2 linked regions of the Callithrix jacchus genome follow. The protein of the gene in region 1 interacts with the protein of each later gene in a pairwise test. Links are inferred from orthologs where the notes say so. Each region holds a gene or a part of one and is shown in the gene's direction. Other genes may lie near its edges. The genes, in order: KIFBP and DOK2.

Evidence for each region.
Region 2: the proteins of KIFBP (region 1) and DOK2 interact in a two-hybrid assay, tested with the Homo sapiens proteins (2 studies listed by BioGRID and IntAct). The two-hybrid records come from large-scale screens. The link is inferred for Callithrix jacchus from reciprocal best matches to the Homo sapiens genes KIFBP and DOK2.

Annotation. Positions count from the first base shown.
Region 1 is NC_133513.1:61,082,044-61,094,432, reverse strand, and holds the start of KIFBP (KIF-binding protein), read left to right. Parts: upstream 1-5,416; 5' UTR 5,417-5,465; coding exon 5,466-5,891; intron 5,892-9,836; coding exon 9,837-9,935; intron 9,936-12,212; exon of another isoform or gene 12,213-12,389. UniProt on the Homo sapiens protein: Activator of KIF1B plus-end-directed microtubule motor activity. Required for organization of axonal microtubules, and axonal outgrowth and maintenance during peripheral and central nervous system development.
Region 2 is NC_133514.1:19,593,113-19,605,415, forward strand, and holds DOK2 (docking protein 2), read left to right. Parts: upstream 1-5,546; 5' UTR 5,547-5,635; coding exon 5,636-5,698; intron 5,699-6,736; coding exon 6,737-7,018; intron 7,019-7,244; coding exon 7,245-7,332; intron 7,333-8,371; coding exon 8,372-8,556; intron 8,557-9,401; coding exon 9,402-10,019; 3' UTR 10,020-10,449; downstream 10,450-12,303. UniProt on the Homo sapiens protein: DOK proteins are enzymatically inert adaptor or scaffolding proteins. They provide a docking platform for the assembly of multimolecular signaling complexes. DOK2 may modulate the cellular proliferation induced by IL-4, as well as IL-2 and IL-3.

The DNA of each region.
Region 1 (12,389 bases):
AAGCAAAATCCCAGTACTTTGAAAGGCTGAGGTGGGTGGATCACAAGGTCAGGAGTTCCAGACCAGCCTGACCAACATGGTGGAATCCCATCTCTACCAAAAATACAAAAATTAGCCAGGCGTAGTGGCGTGCACCTGTAATCCCAGCTACTCAGGAGGCTGAGGCAGGAGAATTGCTTGAACCTGGGAGGCAGAGGTTGCATTGAGCTGAGATTGCGCCATTGCACTCCAGCCTGGGCTACAGAGTGAGAGTCTGTCTCAAAAAAAAAATAATAATAATAATAGTCACCCTCATATCTAATATTTTAGTGAGCAGTTTTCTATATATTCATTTATAAAATCGGAATCATTTAATTTTGTGAATTGCTTACCCCCCAACATGTTATGCACAATTGTGTACAAGCCTACAAGGACAATTTTGAAGGACATGTTATCTTGTATGGTTATGTCACTATACATTTAACCAGTACTTGATGGCCGTGTTGGTTATTTCTAATTTTTCACCATTATAAACAACCCTAAGTTAACATCCTCATATACGTGTTTGCATACTTGTCTGTCACCTTCAGATATGTTTTTTAAAGGCAGCTTTGAACTCCTGGGCTCAAGTGATCTCTCCTCTCAGCCTCCCAAGTAGCTGAGACTACAGGTGGGCACCACCAAACCTGGCTAATATTTAAATTTTTTGTAGAGCTGGGGTCTCATTCTGTTGACCAGGCTGGTTGTGAACTCCTGGCTTCAAGCAATCCTCCTGCCTTGGCCTCCCAAAGTGCTGGGATTATAGGTGTGAGCCACCATGCCTGGCCTTTTCTAATTATCTGTCATGAGACAGATTTCCAATCATTACATTATGGTTTATGTATTTAATATATTTATTGTTTTCCCTATACCAGGGCATGGATTTTTGTCTTTTTTTTTGAGGCAGGGTCTATCTGTTGCCCAGGATTGAATGTGGTGGCGTGATCATAGCTCATTGCAGCCTTGAACTCCTGAGCTCCAACAGTCCTCTTGCTTTAGTCTCCCACATAGATAAGACTATAGCCATGTGCTGCCACACCTGGCCAATATTTCTTTTAAGAATTTTTTTGTAGAGCTGGGGATCTTACTACATTGCCCAGGTTGGTGAATTTTTGTACATTTTTTACTACGGAATTCCCAGCACCTACAACAGTGCCTGGCAAATGACAGACACTAAATATTGAACAAGTTTTTTTTCCTTTTTTTTTTTTTTTGAGACGGAGTTTCGCTCTTGTTACCCAGGCTGGAGTGCAATGGCGCCATCTCGGCTCACTGCAACCTCCACCTCCTGGGTTCAAGTAATTCTCCTGCCTCAGCCTCCCGAGTAGCTGGGACTACAGGCATGTGCCACCATGCCCAGCTAATTTTTTGTATTTTTAGTAGAGATGGGGTTTCACCATGTTGACCAGGATGGTCTTGATCTCTTGACCTTGTGATCCACCTGCCTCGGCCTCCCAAAGTGCTGGGATTATAGGCATGAGCCACCGCGCCTGGCCTCCTTTTTTTTTTTTTACAGTGTCTCCCTCTGTCTGTCACCCGGGCTGGAGTGCAGTGGCTTGATCACAGCTCACCACAGCCTCCATGTCCCAGGTTCAGGTGATCCTCCCAACCTCAGCCTCCTGAGTAGCTGGGACTATAGGAATCCACCACCATACCTGGTTAATTTTTTTTTTTTTTTTTGTAGACATGGGGTTTTGCCGTGTTGCCCAGGCTGGTCTTTAACTCCTGGGCTCAATCGATCCCCTCCCCTCCCAACTCCAGCCTCCCAAAGCACTAGGATTACAGGTGTGAGCCACCACACCTGGTCCAAATCATTTTAAATGTACTGGGGAATGCACTGATAGGAGGCCAGACTGGCAGGACTGCCTATTAGAAATAATCAGATGAGGCTGGGCACGGTGGCTCATGCCTGCAATCCCAGCATTTTGGGAGGCTGAGGTGGGTGGATCACGAGGTCAGGAGAAGACCAGCCTGGCCAACATGGTCAAACTCCATCTCTACTAAAAATACAAAAAATTAGCCAGGGCATAGTGGTGCGTGCCTGTAATCCCAGCTACTCGGGAGGCTGAGGCAGGAGAATCAATTGAACCCAGGAGGTGGAGATTGCAGTGAGCTGAGAGCATGCTATTGCACTCCAGCCTGGGCGACAGGGTGAGACTTAATCTCAAAAAAAAAAGAGTAATCAGATAATGGTGGCCTAAACTAATGGGAGATAAAAAGATGTACACAGAACTATTTAGAAGGCAGAATAGTACTATTTGGTTTTAGGTTTAATAATAAAAGAGACCTGGTACAGTGGCTCACACCTGTAATCACAGCACTTTGGGAGGCCATGGTGGACAGATTACTTGAGGCCAGGGGTTCGAGACCAGTCTGGCCAACATGGTGAAACCCCATCTCTACCAAAAATACAAATATTAGCCAGGTGTGGTGGTACACACCTGTAATCCCAGCTACTCAGGAGGCTGAGGTTGCAGTGAGCCAAGACCAAGCCAATGCACTCCAGCCTGGGTGACAAAGCAAGACTCCGTCTCATAAATAACAGAAGAGGCTGGGCTTGGTAATCCCAGCACTTTAGGAACCTAAAGTGGGAGGATTGCTTAAGCACAGGACTTCGAGATCAGCACAGGACTTCCTTCCCATTTGCAAATGGGAAGGAAGGGGCATGTGAAGAGGAAGATAATAAATTTAGACTTCAACATACTGACATACAGCAGCTATTGAAACATTCAGGTGTGATTGTTCTAGCTGAATGTTGGATATTCCAGTCTGGAGCTCTGGAAAGCCATCTGGCCTGGAGACAGAGTTGTGGGAGTGAGCAGCACATGTAATGATAGACCTAGAAATGGATAAGATCTCCCAGGGATAAGGTTTAGGAAGGAATTTTTAGGAGCATTAAAGGGACAGACATTTAATTTTATTTATTCTTCAGAATAATTCTGTGGAGGTAAGTAGTAGTATTTACATTTTACTATGAGAAACCTGAAGCTTAAAAAAGCTAACTTGTCAATAAGAAAGCTGGTCGATCTGAGATTCAAACCGTATGTCCATGACCTTCTAAAATCAATGCTCATTTGTATGTCTTGAAGCACTTTACACAGGTAGTTCTTAATAGTTAAAATCTTAAATCACCCCTCCCCATTTGACTTGATAACTTAGGAAGGTTGAAGATCTGAGGTGGCTTTCACAGTTGTGGGACTTAGCTCTTGTTACCGTGGGCAGTTGTACAGATTCCTACGACCTGTATTTCAGGGTCAAAGTGAAAATATTTATCTATCACTGTTTTGTATATTTATGGCTCTCACTCAGGAGATTACATATTAATACTGATAATAATTGCCAGGTGGGGTGGCTCACGCCTATAATCCCAGCATTTTGGGAGGCCCAGGTGGGTGGATCATCTGAGGTCGGGAATTCAAGACCAACCTGACCAACATAAAGAAACCCCGTCTCGGGCCGGGCGCGGTGGCTCAAGCCTGTAATCCCAGCACTTTGGGAGGCTGAGGCGGGTGGATCACAAGGTCAAGAGATCGAGACCATCCTGGTCAACATGGTGAAACCCCGTCTCTACTAAAAATACAAAAAATTAGCTGGGCATGGTGGCGCGTGCCTGTAATCCCAGCTACTTAGGAGGCTGAGGCAGGAGAATTGCCTGAACCCAGGAGGCGGAGGTTGCGGTGATCCGAGATGGCGCCATTGCACTCCAGCCTGGGTAACAAGAGCGAAACTCCGTCTCAAAAAAAAAAAAAAAAAAAAAAAAAGGAAAAGAAACCCCGTCTCTACTAAAAATACAAAATTAGACAGGCGTGGTGGTGCATGCCTGTAATCCCAGCTACTCAGGAGGCTGAGGCAGGAGAATCGCTTGAACCCAGGAGGCAGAAGTTGTGGTGAGCAGAGATCCCGCCATTGCATGCCAACCTGGGCAATAAGAGGGAAACAAACAACAACAAAAAAAGCAGATATTGGCTACATTTCAATCAGATCTTGGCTACATTTCAATTTTTTTTTTGAGACGGAGTTTCGCTCTTGTTACCCAGGCTGGAGTGCAATGGCGCGATCTCGGCTCACTGCAACCTCTGCCTCCTGGGTTCAGGCAATTCTCCTAACTCAGCCTCCTGAGTAGCTGGGATTACAGGCACACACCACCATGCCCAGCTAATTTTTTGTATTTTTAGTAGAGACGGGGTTTCACCATGTTGACCAGGATGGTCTGGATCTCTTGACCTCATGATCCACCCGCCTCGGTCTCCTAAAGTGCTGGGATTACAGGCGTGAGCCACCGCGCCCTGCCCAATCTTTTGTCTTAATTTTTAAGTTCCGGAATACATGTACAGAACATGCAGGTTTGTTACATAGGTATACGTGCGCCATGGTGGTTTGCTGCACCTATCAACCCCTCATCTAGGTTTTATGTCCCACATACATTAGGTATTTGTTCTGAGGCTCGTTTTTTCTTCTTTTCTAAAGCCGTCTCACTGTAACCACCTCTTGAGCTCAAGCGATCCTTCCGCCGCAGCCTCCATGGTAGCTGGGACTACAGTCGCTCGCCACCATGTCCAGCTAAAAAAAATTATTGTAGAGATGGGTCTTGCTATGTTGCCTACGGCAGTGTGGGCATCCCAAAATGTTAGGATTACAGACGTGAGCCAAGGCTCCTGGCCTTTTTTAAAACAGGTTTTTATCCAGTGATAGGCTGGGGTATACACTTAATGTCCAAAGGTTTTTGCCTTTCAGTTAATATCAACGCGAGTAGACTTAGCTAGCCATATTTGTAAAAAATATTCCGATATGCTTCATTGAAGTAAGCCGATTAAACATTTTTATTTTTATTTTATATTTTATTTTTTTGTTTTTGAGACGGGGTTTCCCTCTTGTTACCCAGGCTAGAGTGCAATGGCATGATCTCGGCTCACTGCAACCTCCGCCTCCTGGGTTCAGGCAATTCTCCTGCCTCAGCCTCTTGAGTAGCTGGGATTACAGGCACGCGCCAACATGCCCAGCTAATTTTTGTATTTTTAGTAGAGACGGGGTTCCACCATGTTGACCAGGATGGTCTGGATCTCTTGACCTCGTGATCCACCCGCCTTGGCCTCCCAAAGTGCTGGGATTACAGGCTTGAGCCACCGCGCCCGGCCTTAAACATTTTTATATAAATCCGTCCTCACAGGGTCAATCTAGATATAAACTCACCGCTGCAGGGGGCGGGGAAGGAGGCGGGAACATGCTCATTGACAACTTCATTTCCATGAGAATGGTTGCTGTGGTGACTGCTCCGTCTTCCCATTGGCCGCTGACGAACGTATTGCGGTTTTACGGGCGGGTTTTATTGGTTCCCGTTCAGCAGCGGCCCCGACCTGTCGAGAGCCGTAAGTAAAGTGTCGCAAAGCAGAAGGAAGGCGGGAGTCCCGACTGCAAACGTTGGGGAAAGCCAGGCAGTAGAGGCCGCTATGGCGAACGTTCCGTGGGCCGAGGTCTGCGAGAAATTCCAGGCGGCGCTGGCCCTGTCGCGGGTGGAACTGCATAAAAATCCGGAGAAGGAACCGTACAAGTCCAAATACAGCGCCCGAGCGATGCTCGAAGAGGTCAAGGCGCTGCTCGGCCCCACGTCTGAGGACGAGGATGAGCGGCCTGAGGCCGACGACTGCCCAGGTGCGGATGACCACGCCCTGGGGCTACCGGCTGAGGTGGTGGAGCCCGAGGGGCCTGTAGGCCAGCGAGCGGTGAGGCTGGCGGTCATCGAGTTCCACCTCGGGGTGAACCACATCGACACTGAGGAGCTATCGGCGGGGGAGGAGCACCTGGTGAAATGCCTGCGGCTGCTGCGCAGGTACCGGCTCTCGCACGACTGCATCTCCCTCTGCATCCAGGCGCAGGTGAGAGCAAGCCCCGCCAGGCCGGCCCCTGACGGTGAATGGCGAGGGATGGGGAGGAGCCCTTGCCAAGGCCAAGGGCAGACATTCTAAGGCGCAGTTCGTCTCCATGTTTTTTGAAGCTCTGGACTGAGTCCCAGAGAGCATCTATGATCTTCAACAAGGCGAGTCTAAAGGACTTATTGCTTTGTAACTAGATCTCCCACTGTCGCCCCCAAGCTCCCTGTTCACCCTTGTCGCCCACTCTAACATCGCTTGCTGTTGCTTCACTTAGTTGTGGCGATGCATTGGTGTCGGAGACCCTCCTGAATTGTCATGCATTTTCCTCTCCACCACTCCAACTCCTATTCATTCTATTAAGAAAATCCGAAGTAATTTAAATCTTAACGTTTCAAGGAAATGACAGTGACTGGAGTACATTTTTGTTTTGTTTTCTTAGAGATGGGGTCTCACTGTGTCGCCCAGGCTGGAGTTCAATGGTGCCATCATAGCTCATTGCAGCCTCCACCTCTTGGGCTCAAGCAATCCTCCTGCCTCAGCCTTCATAGTAGCTGGGACCACAAGTGCACCTCACTGCTCCCAGTAATTTTTTAAATTTTCCGTAGAGATGGGGGTCTCACTATATTGCCCAGGCTAGTCTTGAACTCCTGGACTCAAGTGATCCTTCTGTCTCGGCCTCCCAAATTGCTGGGACTACAGGCCAGAGCCGCAGTGCTTAGCTGAGGATACATTCTTTTTTTTTTTTTTTTTTTGAGACTGGAGTGCAATGGCATGATCTCGGCTCACCACCGCAACCTCTGCCCCCTGGGTTCAGGCAATTCTCCTGCCTCAGCCTCCTGAGTAGCTGGGATTACAGGCACGCGCCACCATGCCCAGCTAATTTTTTGTATTTTTAGTAGAGACGGGGTTTCACCATGTTGACCAGGATGGTCTCGATCTCTTGACCTTGTGATCTACCCGCCTCAGCCTCCCAAAGTGCTGGGATTACAGGCTTGAGCCACCGCACCTGGCTTCAGGATACATTCTTAATTCAAAACAAAATGTCCAAAATTTTTAGCTTCCTTTCTTATCAAATTCATTTGTTTGTATCTCAGGGAATTCTTCCCCATTCTTCAAAACCCATCTCAAGAATCACTTCCTTTAGTATTAATAACTTTCTTGGGACCATTTTGAACCAAACTGATCTCTCCTTCCTACCTTTGAATTCTTATAATAACTTTTTGTTTCCCATTTATAAGGTGTTTGGTTTATTCAGTAAATCTGGGCAGGGCAAGTGGCTTACATCTGTAATGCCAGCATTTTGGGAGGCTGAGGTGGGAGGATGGTGTGAGGCCAGGAGTCTGAGACCAGACTAGGCAGCAAGGTCAGACTCTGTCTCTACAGGAAAAAAAAACAAAACAAAAACAATGCCCCCACGCCAAACAAACAAACAAAAAAACCCAAAAAACTAGCCAGGCATAGTGTTACACGCCTGTGGTCCTAGCTACTAGGGAGGCTGAGGCAGGAGAATTGCTTGAAACTGGGAGGCGAAGGTTGCAGTGAGCCAAGATTGCGGCACTGCATTCCAGCCTGGCGACAGAGCAAGACTCTGTGTCAAAAAAAAAAAAAAAAAAAAGAAGAGATTGCAATTATCTGTCCAGAAACTAGAACAAGTTGTCAATGAGGATGTCTCCGAACTAAGAAATAAATAATATTGGAGATACGCACTGGTCCGGAAGCACTTGACAAAGCTAAGGCATTGGCAGCAGGTGCTGGAGGACATCATGTGCAGCACAAAAAGCCAGCCGATATCCGTCAAGCATTCAATATTCCTGCACCTCTGAAGTGGACCTGGACAAAAGGGTAAAGGCTGTTGGCCTGAGAGTGGGCAGGTATGGGAGACAACCCTGTGCAGATGGTTTGCCACACATCCCTTCTGTGGACTTGGCATTTTGGAAGAACCCTTTGCCAGAGGATGAGATGATTTTAATTTTATGCTCCCACCTAAAATTGTTTCACTGTTTTTATAGGGTGTTAATTTCTTGAGTACTTTATAATATGCCTGTAACTTGGGTAAACCAAGTAAACTTATTTTGTCTTAGGCAAAGTTTAGACTGTTAGTGTGGTGACACAGTTTCTTTTTCATGTTTTTTTTTTGTTTTTTTTTTTTGAGACAGAATCTTGCTCTGTTGCCCAGGTTGGATAGCAGTAGCACCTCATGGCTTACTGTAACTTCCACCTACTTGGCTCAAGCGATCCTTCCACCTCAGCCTCCCAAGTAGCTGGGACCACAGTTGTGTGCCACCACACCCAGCTAATTTTTGTATTTTTGTGAAGACTGGGTTTCATTTGATTGCTCAGGCTGGTCTCAAACTCCTGAGCTCAGGCCATCTACCTACCTTAGCATCCTAAAGTGTTGGGATTACCGGTATGAGCCACCATGGCTCGTCTTTTTAAAATTTTAGCATGACTTTTCATCTTCTATGTGTGTTTCCCATTGTTTAATATGAGGGGAAATTTCTAATAGCTTGAGAATCAAGGGGATGGGGATTTTGGTTGTAGGCCTTTTGTGATAATTAACCCTCAGTGGTGGTGTAGAAAAATATGTAAATTTTTTTCTGTTTTAAGACTTCAGACTACATCAAGAAGAGGACTGTAATGCAACAGTATTTGTAATGCTTCCAGAAGTCTCACATGAGGAGTTTTTTGGAAATGGGTTGGAAGAGGATTAAAATATCCTTGGTTAGTGTAGTAATATTACAGTAGGATCCTTAGGTTGATGCTGACTTTTATTTGGGGTAAGTTTATATTTTGTGTGGTATTTATTTACTTTTTTTGAAGAGGAGGATGTAGTAGGAACAGTGTTACAAATCAGTTTCAGTAATGGGGTAGACCTTGTTCTCAGTAGGGGTGACTTATGAGGGCTAAAGCTTGCTCTGATGGTCTCTTTTTGTTTTATTTTCTTTGATTTTATCTTTTTTGTTTTACATTTTGAGAGGAGAGAGATTTTCTATTAAGGAAGGTTATTCCTGGTGAATTTGATTATTGGGGTGTCACAGTGGGGTTGGGGAGGGACTGCAGCATGATCCTTGGCTACTGACCCTCTGCAAAGAGCATGTGGTGCCCCTGCCTTTGGGAAGATAATTTGCTCTCTTGTTAGTTTTGCAGGCCACCTCAGATTCTTTGTTGAATTGCTGTTAAGAAATACAGACCAGTGTTGTTTCTGGACTCTCTCGTTGGGTGAGGTTTTCCTGAGTTTTATGTCTCTTCTTAGTTCACATCGTGCTACTCAGAACAAATGCTTCACTCTCCTCTGAACAGGCAGTACTCCTGTGGTTCTGTGTCTTGGCTTGTTCAGTTTTCTTCAGCTTGAAGGCCCTTTGCCACATTTACTGACATCCACTTATGTTCCTGGTATGACCTGGATTGCCGCCTGGTCCCTGAAACCTTCCAGCGCCCATTCTGCAGCATTCCCAGAGCACAGGACTTTTCTCTTTTCTGCTGACTTTGCTTGGTTCTCCCTTGTGGGTTAGTAACTTCTGTCTCTTTGCCCCTCACTAATTGTTCACCCATGAGAATTAGGTATTATTCCTTTTAAATATACAGGGACCATATAGTCTTTACCTTTTATACATGATATGTATTACTCAATTTTGTGTGTGCAAGGTATCTGCTGGCACATGGACCTGTGATTACTAGCCTGAGGCAAACAGATCTCAGCTAGAATGCATAGGTTAAACAAAGCTTTTCTTTTTTTTTAATTTAATTTTATTTCTCTTTATAGAGAAATAGGGTTCATTTTAGCAGCTACCTGCTGTACTACATAAGGTTAGTATCATTGGGAATTATTAATTCATTGGTAATCCAACTCCACTATTTGATTCGTAAGTATTGACTTTAAAACTATGAAAGTTACTTTAATTGGAAGGCTTATATTATTGTTTGTTTCTCTTTTTCCTTATTTTCTAGAATAACCTGGGTATCCTGTGGTCTGAAAGAGAAGAAATTGAAACTGCACAGGCTTACCTAGAGTCATCAGAAGCACTATATAATCAATATATGAAAGAGGTATGTTACATGTCAGATAATTTTTCAGTTTTGATTGAAAACTAGTCAAGAATTGATAGTAAGAATTCCTCATGCATCATATCGCTGTGACTCTTCACTGTGCCCAGGAACTTCTCTATAGAGCTATTTGGGAAGTCACCTAATAACTGAAATTATTGCATATTAAGGACTTTGGGGTTTTAAAAAAATAATCCTTGGATAGGACATAATGGCAACCTAGTCTAAATACAATTATGAAAGAAACATTATTCTTTTTTTTTTGAGAAGGAGTTTTGCTGTCTTTACCCAAACTGGAGTGCAATGGCACGATCTCGGCTCACTGCAACCTCTGCCTCCTGGGTTCTAGCAATTCTTCTGAGTAGCTGGGACTACAGGCGCACACCACCATGCCCAGCTAATTTTTGTATTTTTAGTAGTGACGGGGTTTCATCTTGTTGACCAGGATGGTCTCGATCTCTTGACCTCATGATCCACCCGCCTCAGCCCAAAGTGCTGGGATTATAGGCGTGAGCCACCGCGCCCGGCTAAAAGAAACGTTATTCTAATGTTATCCCAAAATACTATTTGCATGTTTTTGTATTTATAATCTAAACATTCTATTTTGGTTTTCAATGAAAATACCACTGTTTGACAGAAGCAATAACTTTTAACAAAACATCTGAAATCTTTGAAGCAATGGTTCTCAAACGTTAGCACCCATTAAAATCTCCTGGAGAGCTTGTGAAAGCACAGCAGACTGGGCTTCCAGTCTCTGATTTAGTAGTTCTGGGGTGAGGCCTAGGAATTTGCATTTTTAACAAGGTCCTCAGTGATGCTTATGCTGTTGTCCTAAGTACTGTACTGTACTTTGAGAACCACTGCTTCAGGGCAATGGTTTTTCAATGTTTTTTTTTTTTTTTAACCTGTGAAACCCTTCTGAAAATACAGCGTATAAAAACTGATTTGAAGCTGGGCACGGTGGCTCACGCCTGTAATCCCAACACTTTGGGAGGCCGAGGAGGGCGGATCACCGAGTTCAGGAGTTTGAGACCAGCCTAACCAACATGGAGAAACCCCAACTCTACTAAAAATGCAAAATTAGCAAGCCTGTAATCCCAGCACTTTGGGAGGCCGAGGCGGGTCGATCACGAGGTCAAGAAATCGAGATCATCCTGGTCAACGAGGTGAAACCCCGTCTCTACTAAAAATACAAAAAATTAGCTGGGCATGGTGGCGCATGCCTGTAATCCCAGCTACTCAGGAGGCTGAGGCAGGAGAATTGCCTGAACCCAGGAGGCAGAGGTTGCGGTGAGCCGAGATTGCGCCATTGCACTCCAGCCTGGGTAACGAGAGCGAAACTCAGTCTCAAAAAAATAAAGCAAAATTAGCTGGGTGTGGTGGCGCATGCCTGTAATCCCAGCCAGTCGAGAAGCTAAGGCAGGAGAATTGCTTGAACCTGGGATGTGGAGGTTGTGGTGAGCTGAGATTGTGCAATTGCACTCCAGTCTGGGCAACAAGAGCAAAACTCCATCTCAAAAAAATAAAATAAAATGGATTGAGTTACTCTGGTTAAGGAGGTTAGAAGAACCCAGAGCCCAGTCCACTGCAGATTCTTCCTTCCTCCCCACTTCAGTAGTATAAAAGAGATGCTGTAGAACTTCTAGGGCTCTGGGGAGCTAATGCTGAAAACTCTCACTTTAGGGGTCACAGCCTATAAAGGTGACAAGCCACTGTGTTACATCTGTTTCTTTAATAAACTTTTTTTTAATATGAAAGAGAAATGATCAGGTACAATATTTTGCTGTGGATTACTATTTGTCACATCTGTCTGCTTTAAAAGCCCATTAATATGGCTGGGCATGGTGGCTCATGCCTGTAATTCCAGCACTTTGGGAGGCTGAGGCAGGTAGATCTCTTGAGGTCAGGAGCTCGAGACCAGCTTGGGCAACATGGTGAAACCCCATCTTTACTAAAAATACAAAACAGCCGGGTGTGGTGGCGCATACTTGTAGTCCCAGCTACTCAGGAAACTGAGACAGGAGAATCGCTTGAACCTGGGAGGCAGAGGCTGTAGTGAGCTGAGATCATGCCACTGCACTCCAGCCTGGGCGACAAAGCAGGACCCTGTTTCAAAAAAAAATCCATTAATAAAGTGTTTTTATAACATTAAAAAACTTGAAATAACATTATATATCATATAAAAGAGACTAAACATACAGAATTATGTTTGCTAAATTCAGGCATCAGAATGCTTGACTACAAAATGATATGAGAAGCTTGTATGCCTGTAATCCCAGCACTTTCAGAGGCCGAGGCAGGAGGGTCACATGAGCCCAGGAGTTTGAGACCAGCCTGGGCAACATAGCAAGACCTCATCACTACAAAAAATTTAAAAATTTGCCAGATGTGGCAGCACACACTTATAGTTCTAGTTACTTGGGAGACTGAGGCAGGAGTGTCACTTGATCCCAGGAG
Region 2 (12,303 bases), on another chromosome or scaffold:
GCGCCCAGCACCACACGGCTAATTTTGGTATTTTTAGTAGAGACGGGGTTTAACCATGTTGGCCAGGCTTGCCTGGAACTCCTGACCTCAGGTTCCCTAAGTGCTGGGATTACAGGCATGAGCCACTGGGCCTAGCCAGTGGCTTTAAAATCATAATTCAGATAATTTACACTCCTACTTAAAATCCTTAAGTGGCCGCATGCACGTTGCATTTAGAATCTGAACGTTTGCTGTGGCCCGAGAGGTATATATGAGCCGACCTTATCTGTACCAAGCTCCCTCTGGCAAAATGCTCTGTGGTCATTCCGGCCTTGCAGTTTTGCAAAGCCAGCGTCTTCCTGCCTCAGGGGCTTTGCACTTGCAGTACTTTCTGCCTGGTTTGGTTTTCCTTGCGATCTTGCAATGGCTGGTTCACTCTCCTCAAGGACTTTTCAGCTCACTTGCCACCTCCTCAGAGGGGCTTTTCTCACCACCCTCTTGAAAGTTGTCCCCTGTGCCTGTCACTATCACAGCATTGATCACTGTCCAAAACTACGTATTTCCTCTTTGTCAGTCTCTTCAACTAGAAGCAGATACAGTGTAAACAAGGATTCTGTTTATGTTGTATCCCTAGCACCTCTGCACAGAGTAGATGCTCAATAAATAATCATTGAGGCCAGGCATGGTGGCTCATGCCTGTAATCCCAGCACTTTGGGAGGCCAAGGTGGGTGGATCACTTGAGGTCAGGAGTTCAAGAACAGCCTGGCCAACAGGGTAAAACCCCATCTCTACTAAAAATTTAAAAAATTAGCTGGGCGAGAACTCACACCTATAATCCCAGCACTTTGGGAAGCTGAGGCGGGCAGATCACCTGAGGGTGGGAGTTCTAGACCAACCTGACCAACATGGAGAAACCCTGTCCCTACTAAAAATACAATATTAGCCAGGCATAGTGGTGCATGCCTGTAATCCCAGCTACTCAGGAGGCTGAGGCAGGAGAATTGCTTGAACCTGGGAGGTGGAGGTTGTGTTGAGCCAAGATCATGCTATTGCCCTCCAGCCTGGGCAACAAGAGGAAAAATTAGCCGGGCATGGTGGTACGCACCTGTAATCCCAGCTACTCAGAAGGTTGAGGCAGAAGAATGGTTGGAACCCAGGAGATGGGGGTTGCAGGGAGTTCCACTGCATTCCAGCCTGGACGACAGAGTGAGACTCCATCTCAAAACAAAAAATAAATTTTAAAAATTGTGGAATGTATTAGCTTCTTTATGTCTCATTCCAGGGTGCATGTGGGTTTCATATGAAGACATAAAGTGTTCTAAATATTATGTTACTGTTAGGTAACATAATTATTATGTTTATGTTACGTTACATTATGTTATATTATGTTACAGGCCCTTCCTCTCAGGGTTTCTAGAACTAGGTTCTCCCTTTCCTTAGTACTGAGAAAAGTGGTAGACTTTTTTTTTTTTTTGAGATGGAGTCTCACTCTGTCGCCCAGACTGAAGTGCAGTGGCACGATCTCGGCCCAAACCTCCGCCTCCTGGGTTCAGGCAATTCTCCTGCCTCAGCCTCCCGAGTAGCTGGGATTACAGGCACGCACCACCATGCCCAGCTAATTTTTTTTTTGTATTTTTAGTAGAGACGGGGTTTCACCATGTTGGTCAGGCTAGTCTCGAACTCCTGACCTCATGATCCACCCACCTTGGCTTCCCAAAGTGCTGGGATTACAGGTGTGAGCCACCACGCCTACCGGAAAATTGATAGACTTAGTGGAGAAAGGGTAGGGGCTACAAATGAAACTCAAGAGACTGGCATTGTCCTTCCCCCCCTCCCCCCCCACTGAAGGTGGAAGGGGCAGGGAGGGGATCCTTCAGAATACTTGCTCACTGATTTCTTCACTCCGTCCTTTACCCTTCTCAGGGCCACATCAGTTCTCTGCCCATCCTGTACCTACTTTTCTGTTTGTGTCCAGAGCTACCCCTTAGGATTGGGTGGCTAATCACTGCAGCATAATAGTAACAAAAAGTTGCAAAGTTGTCCTTCCTGACTCCTGCTGAGAGAAACCATTGAATAGGACTGGGGTCCCAGTGGTTTAGAATGAGCCACAGGTGGGGTTTGGAGTGCCTCTTCCTTTCCTTAAAAACAAAGAGAAGTCCAGGCGTGGTGGCTCACGCCTGTAATCCTAGCACTTTGGGAAGCCAAGGTGGGTGGATCATGAGGTCAGGAGTTCGAGACCAGCCTGACCAACATGGTGAAACCCTGTCTCTACTAAAAATACAAAAAATTAGCTGGGCATGGTGGTGCGTGCCTGTAATCCCAGCTACTCAGGAGGCTGAGGCAGGAGAATTGCCTGAACCCAGGAGGCGGAGGTTGCGGTGAGCCGAGATGGCACCATTGCACTCCAGCCTGGGTAACAAGAATGAAACTCCGTCTCAAAAAAAAAAAAAGAAAAAAAACCAAAGCGAAGCCAAGAGGCACCCTAAATTCCTTTACAATGCTTTTTCTTTTGAGGCAAAGTCTCTCTCTTGCCCCCCCCCACCCCCACGCTGGAGTGCAGTGGCCCGATCTTGGCTCAATTCGACCTCCGCCTCCTGGGTTCAAGCGATTCTCCTGCCTAAGCTTCCTGAGTATCTGGGATTTACAGGTGCCTGCCACCACACCTGGCTAATTTTTGTATTTTTAGTAGAGACAGGGTTTCACCATGTTGGTCAGGCTGGTCTTGAACTCCTGACCTTAGGTAATCCACCCACCTCAGCCTCCCAAAGTGTTGGGATTACAGGCGTGAACCACTGCGCCTGGCATACAGTGCTTCTTCTACACATCATTTGTGCCTGCGGATCCTCAGGGCATATAATTCTGTGTTTCTGCTGTGTCTTGGAGCAATGTCTCTGGGCTCCTGCTCTGGGTTTCCCTGTGGTTAGACAGAAGGTACTGGGGTTATTGCTTCTACTTCAGGGTCCCCACAAATCCTGCTAGGGACGGTTGAAGGGGCCTAGAAGGACTGCAAGGGTGTTACTCTTCATATATGCTCTGCTGCCCTATCTTCTGCAGACAACAGCAACCGGAGAACTTCTCCAGCTTCCATAGGCAAGGGATGACTTGGGGTGTCTGGATTGCCTGAGGTTCCAGCCTCTGGATTGAAATAGCTTTCAAGTAATCTGGTAAGCTGGGGTGCCCCCCTGTGGTTCCTAGTGGAATGTGTCTGTTTTACCTTCAGGGAAGGCGATCAGGGTAGCAGGGGACATTCTCTGTTACCCTGCTATTCAGTGTGGTTTGGCCCACTCACTACCAGTAGGATCTCAGGGCTCATTCCAGACCGGCTTTATTGGAATCTGCACTTTTTTTTTTCAGACGGAGTTTTACTGTCGCCAGGCTGGAGTAGCACCATCCCAGCTCATTGCAACCTCTGCCTCCCGGGTCCAAGCAGTCTTTTGCCTCAGCCTCCTGAGTAGCTGGGACAACTAGCATGCACCACCACACCCAGCTAATTTTTGTATTTTTAGTAGATGTGAGGCTTCACCATGTTGGCCAGGATGTTCTCAATCTCTTGACCTCATGATCTGCCTGCCTCGGTCTCCCAAAGTGCTGGGATTACAGGTGTGAGTCACCACATCCAGGCCAGAATCTGGACTTTATTTATTTATTTATTTTTGAGACGAAGTTTCGCTCTTGTTACCCAGGCTGGAGTGCAATGGCACGATCTTGGCTCACCACAACCTCTACCTCCTGGGTTCAAGCAATTCTCCTGCCTCAGCCTCCCGAGTAGCTGGGACTACAGGCGCGCGCCACCATGCCCAGCTAATTTTTGTATTTTTTAGCAGAGACAGCGTTTCACCTTGTTGACCAGGATGGTCTCGATCTGTTGACCTCGTGATCCACCCACCTCGGCCTCCCAAAGTGCTGGGACTATAGGCGTGAGCCACTGCGCCCGGCCCTGGACTTTTAACAAGATCTACGTGTTACAGTTTGGAAGGCACTGCTCTGGCAGCCCCCAGGGTGGCCCTAAAGCCCTCCTCTTCTCACTCCCTGAGCCAGAGACCATGCAGCTCCCAGGCAGAGTTGATTCTCCTTAGGGACTAAAGGGGAAGATTAGGCCACATCCCATTTTCATACAACTACCCACTTTCCAAGGTGTGCTTTTCCCAAAACAGCATCCTTGGTTCTCCCTTGAGCTTTGGATCAAACTCTTCCAACCCAGGCAGCAGGGTGGGGGGTGGTGAGCTTGAAGTGACTCAGCCCTGTCCTCGCAGAGCTCTTGACATTCACCTTTTCAAGCTGATTTGGTCTGCGGCATGTACAGCAGGCCTGAGCTGTGCACGGTCCTCTCACTCCTTGCCAGGGTAACTGAACCCCTGTGGGAGAGGAAGTGGGCCTGTGTATATAAGCACCTGTTATGGAATGAACCCCAAGAGAATGAACTGCTGGTCTGAGCCTCAGTTTTTTCCAGCATTTCTGCACCGTGCCTCTATGCAGATTGCTTTCTAAACCCTCTGGCTTTAAGCTAAACTTCTCTGAGCAGCCTGGATTTCCCTAAAGCAATGGGTCTTCTTGCATGGATCTGCCTTCCATTTAGGGGCCTGCGAAATGCTGAATCAGGAGCCCTGGTCTCTACTTCTTCCTCTGCTGCCTAGCTCTGACCTCAGGCAAGATGCAAATAAATGTGTTCACACCTGCCCTGCCTTTGTCGAGGGGTAGAGTGGCTGATGAAAGTGTGGGCCTGGAAACTGGGAGCTATGAAGCATTTTCGGCAACCATGAGGCATTTTCAAAATATATATGAAAGTGATTGCTATTGAAACTTAAGATAATTTGCAGATGAAACCTAAGCATCTTTCTAATGCTCAAGAATGCTGGAAAGAAGGCAAAAATCCAGCAGTTGAGGTGTACTTGGGGAGTCAGTTCCTTCTCCAGAGGAGATGATCATGTTTCTTGAATCTTTGCAGGGTTGGTGTCAGTGTGTGTTCTTGGCAGGCAGGGAGTGCTCCCATGTAGTTAAATGGTGGCACCTCTCTCTCTCTGTGTGTGTGTGTGTGTGTATGGGAAAGTGGTGTCTGGTTAGGCCCACATGAGCTGTCTTATGTGTCTCTCTGTGCCATGTCGTGTGTGTGGTTCACCTGTTAGAGTTGAGAAGCCTGGTTTGGTGGCCTCAGATAAGTTCCTCAGGCTTTCCCAGCCTCAGTTTCCTTATATGTAACTTAGTGGTTTGTCCCTTCCAACTTGCATACAGCTTGAGGTGGGGCCCTTCTGCTGCTGGTTTCACTGTCTAATTTGGTTTCTTGGTCTCTGTTCCAGCAGGCCAGCCCCTGTTTGCTGGTGCCTCCATGTGCCAACTTCTGTACCTGAATTGTTGCTCACTGAAGAGCTGGCACTTGCCTTTTTGTAAATTGTCTGTAACTCACTGGAAATGCAGGAAGCTTGTGTATAAAACTCACTCAGAAAACACACACACACACACACACACACACACACACACACACAGAAGAAACCACAGGGCCTATCAGCCTGTCGTCATCAAGCAGACTAGAATAGTGTAGAAAACTCTAGGCAGAGAGGAAATGAACTTCAGAGAAGGGGAACACACAGCTGAGAAGACAGAGGAGAGGGCAGGAGTGAAGGAGAGAGCTGAAGCCAGGGGCTCCGAGATGGTCAGAGGATGGGAGACGGGGCAGTGAAGCAGGGCTTCCTGTATCTTCAGCAGCAGCAGACGTTTGGAAAGGTAGGAGTGAGGCTGGACTGGGCCTGGAGGACTGCTAGAAATTCCTGAGGTGCAGAGTTTCATATTCAAAACCCTTATAGGTCTGACTGTACACTCACCAAGTCAGACTCAAAGCTCAATCTTGGGAGGGCTCTTTCCCTACCAGACGCTGTCTCCTGAACCAGGCCCCAACCAGGTCCCAAACTGTGCTCTTTGCTGAGGGCTGTTTGCCCTGGGTGGGGGTAGGGGGATGTGCTGGCTTCATCTCTTGCCTCTTTTGCTCTTTTACTTTGTGTTGGCTTCTTTTCACAGGACATCTTGGAAAGGAATGGGAAGGGCAGCTGGAGGGACGGTTTAGGATGATGGGAGAGGTTCCTTCCTCACCCCAGTGAGGTGCATGTGGCTGGTGTTCATGCATGGGGCTTCTGGGGTCTGGGACCCAGCCAGCTGTCCATCCTCTCTCTCCTTCCCTGGCCTCCTTGAACCAGGAAGTCCTCATCCCCCAGCTGACCAACACTGGGGGCACACCTGTCTCTCTCTCATGGCCCAACCTATCAAGCAGTGAGGCAGCAAGGTTCAGGAGGGTGGAGAGACGTTCCTGGAGTATGGGGCCTTCTTCAGGACTTGGTACAGAAGGAGAATGAGGTCTCTAGGCTGGGCCACATGCTGCCCTCCTCACTCCCTCCTCTGGAGGAAAGCTTTGGCCACTGCCCGGCTTTCCTCCTGGGGACTGGAGTCCGCTGGGGTGGCCCCCTTTGGCTTCTTGCAGCCTGCTTAGGGCTCATCCCGGTGTTGCTTTCTGCCTGGGCAGTCTGTGCTCCTGCTCGTGGGCCTCGTTCTGGGGGCTGGCGGCTGGCGGCTGATCCGATTTTCTGATTCCTGCAGTCCCTGTCCTCTTCTCTGCCTCCCTGGGTCTCCTGTGATCTTCACCTCTCTCTCCCCATCTCCCGTGGCTGTCCCGGTCCCCCTCCCACGGTTCCTCTTCTCCCCTTGAGTCACGATCTCCCCTGTCTCTGGGTGGCCCCCTCTGGGCCCCCGCCTCCCACGCCTCTGGCTCAGAAATGGCGCCGCTTCGGGGCTGCGCTGTATGGAGAGTCGGACTGCGCCTTGGCCCGGCTGGAGCTGCAGGAGGGTCCGGAGAAGCCCCGTCGGGGTGAGGCTGCCCGGAAGGTTATTCGCCTTAGTGACTGCCTGCGGGTGGCTGAGGCCGGCGGAGAGGCCAGCAGCCCCCGGGACACCAGTGCCTTCTTCCTGGAGACCAAGGAACGCCTGTACCTACTGGCGGCCCCCACTGCAGAGCGAGGCGACTGGGTGCAGGCCATCTGCCTCCTGGCCTTCCCGGTGAGTCACCCTGGGGTGCAGAAAGGGCAAGGGGGCATGCAGGCCAGGGTGTTACATGCTTCCTGTGGGCAGGTGTTAGAGAAGTCAAGGTCAGGGTGCTTCCTTGAGAAGGGGACCCGAACCCAGCGCACAGACAGAGCCAGCAGGCTGGGGTGCCCTGCAAGGAGGCCTGGGTCAGAGGGGGACCTGGGGAGGAAGGTGGTGAGACCTGGGGCCTCCTTCCCAGGGGCAGAGGAAGGAGCTCTCGGGGCCAGAGGGAAAGCAGAGCCGGCCGTGCATGGAGGAAAATGAATTGTACAGCTGCGCGGCCACAGGTGAGGGGCGGGGGCTGCCCTGCTATCCCTGGGGGTTCTCCCCAGGCTGAGGTGAAGAGGAGGTGTGGGCCAGCTAGCTGCTGGCCCAAAGTCTTCCTGCCTTGTGGTTACCCGCAGCTGGGGCCAGCCACCTTATCAGCCTCTCTTTTTCACTTCCGGGTACAGCCCAGCGGAGGGGAGCCTGGCCTGCCTTGAGTGTCTCCCTTGGCTCACCCCATTTTACCTAGGGCCTGCTGGTGCGAGAGGGGAACCCTAGGGGCCCAGGTGTTGCCTTTTTATTTTTATTTTTGAGGCAGAGTTTTGCTCTTGTCCCCCAGGCTGGAGTGCAATGGCCTAATCTCAGCTCACTGCAACCTCCGCCTCCCAGGTTCTATCCATTTTCCTGCCTCAGCCTCCTGAGTAGCTGGGATTACAGGTGCCCGCCACCATGTCCAGCTAATTTTTTTGCAATTTTAGTAGAGACAGGGGTTTCACCATGTTGGTCAGGCTGGTCTCGAACTCTTGACCTCAAGTGATCCACCTACCTCAGCCTCCCCAAGAGCTGGGATTATAGGTGTGAGCCACCACACCGGCCCAGGTGCTGCTTTTGAGGAGCTGGTGGAGGGAGAAGCAGCTTTCATCTGCCTTCCATCTAAGCTCTACCCCCCAGGGCCCTGGCAGTGGGAGGGCAGGGCCAGGCTTCACCTGCAGCTGTGACAGTAGGGATTGGGGAGGTGACTGGTTTGGGGTGAGAGAAGGGGTGGGGAAGACAAGACTGTGGCTCTGGCAACAGGGGCAGGAAGGATGTGGGCACGAGGTTGGGGTGGATGTGGGTAGGGACATGAGGCCTACTAGGGTAGGGGGTGGATGTACCTGGCCTTTTGGGGAGTATGACCTGGCATAGAGCAGCTCAGCCTCCAAGACCCAGATGGGCGGTCATGAGTACGTGGATAATATTCTTTCTAGAACACTTCTGGCACAGTCATTTAGAACTGGGCAGCGGTGAGGCAGGCCAGCTCTTTCCCATTAACTGCCTTCACCTTCTCTCTCTTCTCCCCAGTTGGCCCCCGCAAGGAATTTGCTGTGACCATGAGATCTACAGAAGCCAGCGAGAGGTGCCACCTGCGGGGGTCCTATACCCTCCGGGCGGGGGAGAGTGCTCTGGAGCTGTGGGGTGGGCCTGAACCAGGGACCCAGCTGTACAACTGGCCCTACAGGTTTCTGCGGCGCTTTGGGCGGGACAAGGTGAGTGGGAAGCTGCATCGGGCTGGGTTGGGAGAAAGGATAAGCTATGAACAAAGTGGGTGATCAGGGAGAGGCAGAGGAGGCCAGATGAGGCCGAGGGAGCCATTAGAGGCAGAGAGGATGGTGGGGAGGAGGAGGTGGGAGGAAGCAAAGGCAGAGAATAAAGGCCAGTGGAAGAGAAAAGAAGCATCGAGGGGATGGGAGAGACTAGGAGAGGGAGACGGAGTGAAGCAAAGAGGAGAGTGACAAGATGGTGGAAGTGGAGGAGAAGGAAGGAGAAAGGAGAATGAGAAGAGGTGGAGAGACCATGGAGGAGTGAACAGTGGCTGAACTAGTGCCTGGCTCCATCCTTGAATGGAGCAGTGAGCAGGAAGGGCCTGGAGATGGGAGAGGAGAGAGCCAAGTCTGCTTGTAGGGAAAAGCACAGAGGTTCTGGTGAAGGGAAGCTGGAGGTCCCAGGGCATGGGTTAGAGATAGGGTTTAGAAGGCATTCCTGGGCCAGGCGCAGGGGCTTAGCCTGTAATCCCAGCACTTTGGGAGGCTGAGGTGGGCAAACCATGAGGTCAAGAGATCAAGACCATCCTGACCAATATGCTGAAACCCTGTTTCTACTAAAAATACAAAAATTAGCCGGGTGTGGCAGTGCATGCCTATAGTCTCAGCTACTCGGGAAGCTGAGGCAGGAGAATCGCTTGAACCCGGGAGGTAGAAGTTGCAGTGAGCTGAGATCACACCACTGTACTTCAGCCTGGCGACAGAATGACCCTCCATTTCAAAGAAAAAAGAAAGAAAGAAAGCATCCCTGCCCTGTGGCTGGCCGATAACCTCCTTTCTCCCTGGCCTAGGTAACCTTTTCCTTTGAGGCAGGCCGGCGCTGCGCCTCTGGAGAGGGCAACTTTGAGTTTGAAACCCGGCAAGGCAATGATATCTTCTTGGCCCTGGAAGAGGCCATCTCTGCCCAGAAGAATGCCACCCCCGCTGCACCCCAACCCCAGCCAGCCACAATCCCCGCCTCACTGCCCCGGCCTGAGAGCCCCTACTCCCGGCCCCATGACTCACTGCCGCTGCCTTCACCCACCGCACTAGTACCTGCTCCACGGCCTCTGGGCCCAGAGGGGGAGTATGCCGTGCCCTTTGATGCAGTGGCCCGTTCCTTGGGAAATAACTTCAGGAGCATATTGGCAGTCCCTCCTCAGCTCTTGGCTGACCCTCTGTACGACAGCATTGAGGAGCCCCCGCCCCCTCGACCCGACCACATATATGATGAGCCCGAGGGAGTGGCTGCCCTGTGCCTTTATGACAGCCCACAGGAGCCCCAGGGTGAGGCCTGGAGGAGGCAGGCAACAGCTGACAGGGACCCCAGTGGCCTCCAGCATGTCCACCCAGCCGGGCAGGATTTCTCTGCCTCTGGCTGGCAGCCAGGAACCGAGTATGACAACGTCATACTTAAGAAAGGCCCGTAGTGACAGAGGCCGCAGCCCTGTCCCTGGCTTCTGCTGGTGACTCCTCATGGCCACAGCATCAGACGACCCTCCTCTGCCCCTCTGGAGCCCGAGGCCTGGCCTGCCTTCCTTGGGGCTGAAACACTGCCCCTCCCAGGGCCTGCTGGGTGAGTCACCATCCCAAAGCAGGAAGGGTGCCCTGGAGGACCCACCCTCCTCCCACTCTTTTTCCACTTCCTCCTCTTTCTTTCCCCAGCTGAGGGGGAACCTGGGGCATTTGGGGCAGAGGACAAAAGGATGTCAGCAATTGCCTGGGCTGCTTGGCTGTGCAGGCCTCCTGACTGCTGATGGCCACTTCAGGGACAGCCTGGGCCCAGGCACCAAGGTGGGTGGCGGTAGCTTCCTCAGCTTTCAGATTTCTCAGTGGCATTAAAGCATTTTGGAAACATTTTGTGTGGCATGAATGCTGTGGGAGTGAAGACTCTAACTGACCACCCTTGATCACCTCCTCTCCCAGCTGCAAGGTGCCCCCAGGGCCTAGGCTGCGCTCTGGTAACCTCCCAGAGGCCCGCAGGAGTCGGAGTACCCAGGCAGCGCAGTGGTTCATGCCCGTAATTCCAGCACTTTGGGAGGCTGAGTTGGGTGGATCACGAGGTCACGCATTCAAGACCAGCCTGGCCAACATAGTGAAACCCCATCTCTAAAAAATTAGCCAGGCATGGTGGCAGGTGCCTGTAATCCTAGCTACTTAGGAGGCAGAGGCAGGAGAATCACTTGAACCTGCGGGGCGGAGGTTACAGTGAGCCGAGACTGCGCCATCACACACCAGCTTGGGAGACAGTGCGAGATTTCATCTCAAAAAAAAAGAAGTCAGGGCGCCCTGAGAACAGTGTTCAAGCATGTCCCCCCTTTGCCAGGATAAGGTCAACCTCAGAGAAATGGTGGGGGAAACACTGGGGAGCAAGGGAAAGCCGAATTGCAAGGAAGGAAAGCATTGGATTGCTGGAGCCTCTTACACACCAGGGGTGGGAGTCACCTGCTCCGTGGTCCTAGGCTCTCTCCCTTCTCTGAGATTTGTGTACATCTTTGTAAAATGAGGGGGTTGCACCATGTGGGCACTGAGCAGCCTTCCAGCTCTGTGATTCCCTTTGGCCCTGGGCTCCCAGGCCCCCACACACCCATTTTCCTGCAGGTCAGCCTGTGTCCTTGTGCTTGGTCCTCTGATCAAACCTGCTTTCCTGGCAGGGTGTGTCCATGGACTTCCACTATCGGCATAGTCTGTTTGTGGGAGGCTGTAGACTGCCTGGCCTGTGAGAGGTGCACAGCCCAGAACAGGACGAGATGAGACAGGGCACAGGTGTCTGTCTCACAGTGGGTGTGAGTGCCCGAGAGATAACTATTTCCTGGGAGCGCAAGAAAGGCTTCGTATCAAAGATACCATTTCAGGTGGGTGTTTACAGATGGGAAGGAGTTCCATGGAGATTCTGGGGTGGGAAGGAGCATCTTGGATGGGGATGGGAGTGTGGGTGAAACCACGGGGCGTATGGATGTGTCGCATTCAGGATGGAGTTCTACACCCAGAGCTCGGGGAAGGTGACACAATCTAGTTGGGAAGGCAGGTTCTGACTGTCTTAAGGGTAATTGGTACCTAATTAGAGGGAAAGGTGGAATGACTCAAGGCTTTTGAACAGTGAGTCCCATAAAAGCTGAGCTTTAGGGCAATAACCTGATAGCCCTGTGGAGGATGGATTTTGGGTAGGAAGGGGTAGGTTGGGACTAAACTGAAAAGGGGAAATTCATCTGGGCATGGTGGCTCACACCTGTGATCCCAGCGACTTGGGAGGCCAAAGTGGGAGAATCACTTGAGCCCAGGAATTTGAGACCAACCTGGGCAATATAGTGAGACCCTGTCTCTATAAAAACAAAGAAACAAATTTAGCCAGGTGTGGTGGTGCATACTTGTAGTCTCAGCTACTTGGGAGACTGAGGCTGGAGAATCATTTAGCTTTGGCAAGAGAGCAAGTCCCTGGCTCAAAAAAAAGAGGGAAGGGAGAATTCAGAAAGGACTGGATTCAAAAGAAGGTATACAGCTGGCCCCTGCGGATCTTGGACTCATACTCAATGTGGAACACAGAGAAAGAGGTTTTCTAGAGAGACTTGGTTTTTTTTTTTTTTTTTTTTTTCTCTTGAGACAGAATCTCGCTCTGTCACTCAGGCTGGAGTGCAGTGGTACGATCTTGACTCACTGCCATCTCTGCCTCCCGGGTTCAAGTGATTCTCCCATCTCAGCCTCTGGAGTAGCTGG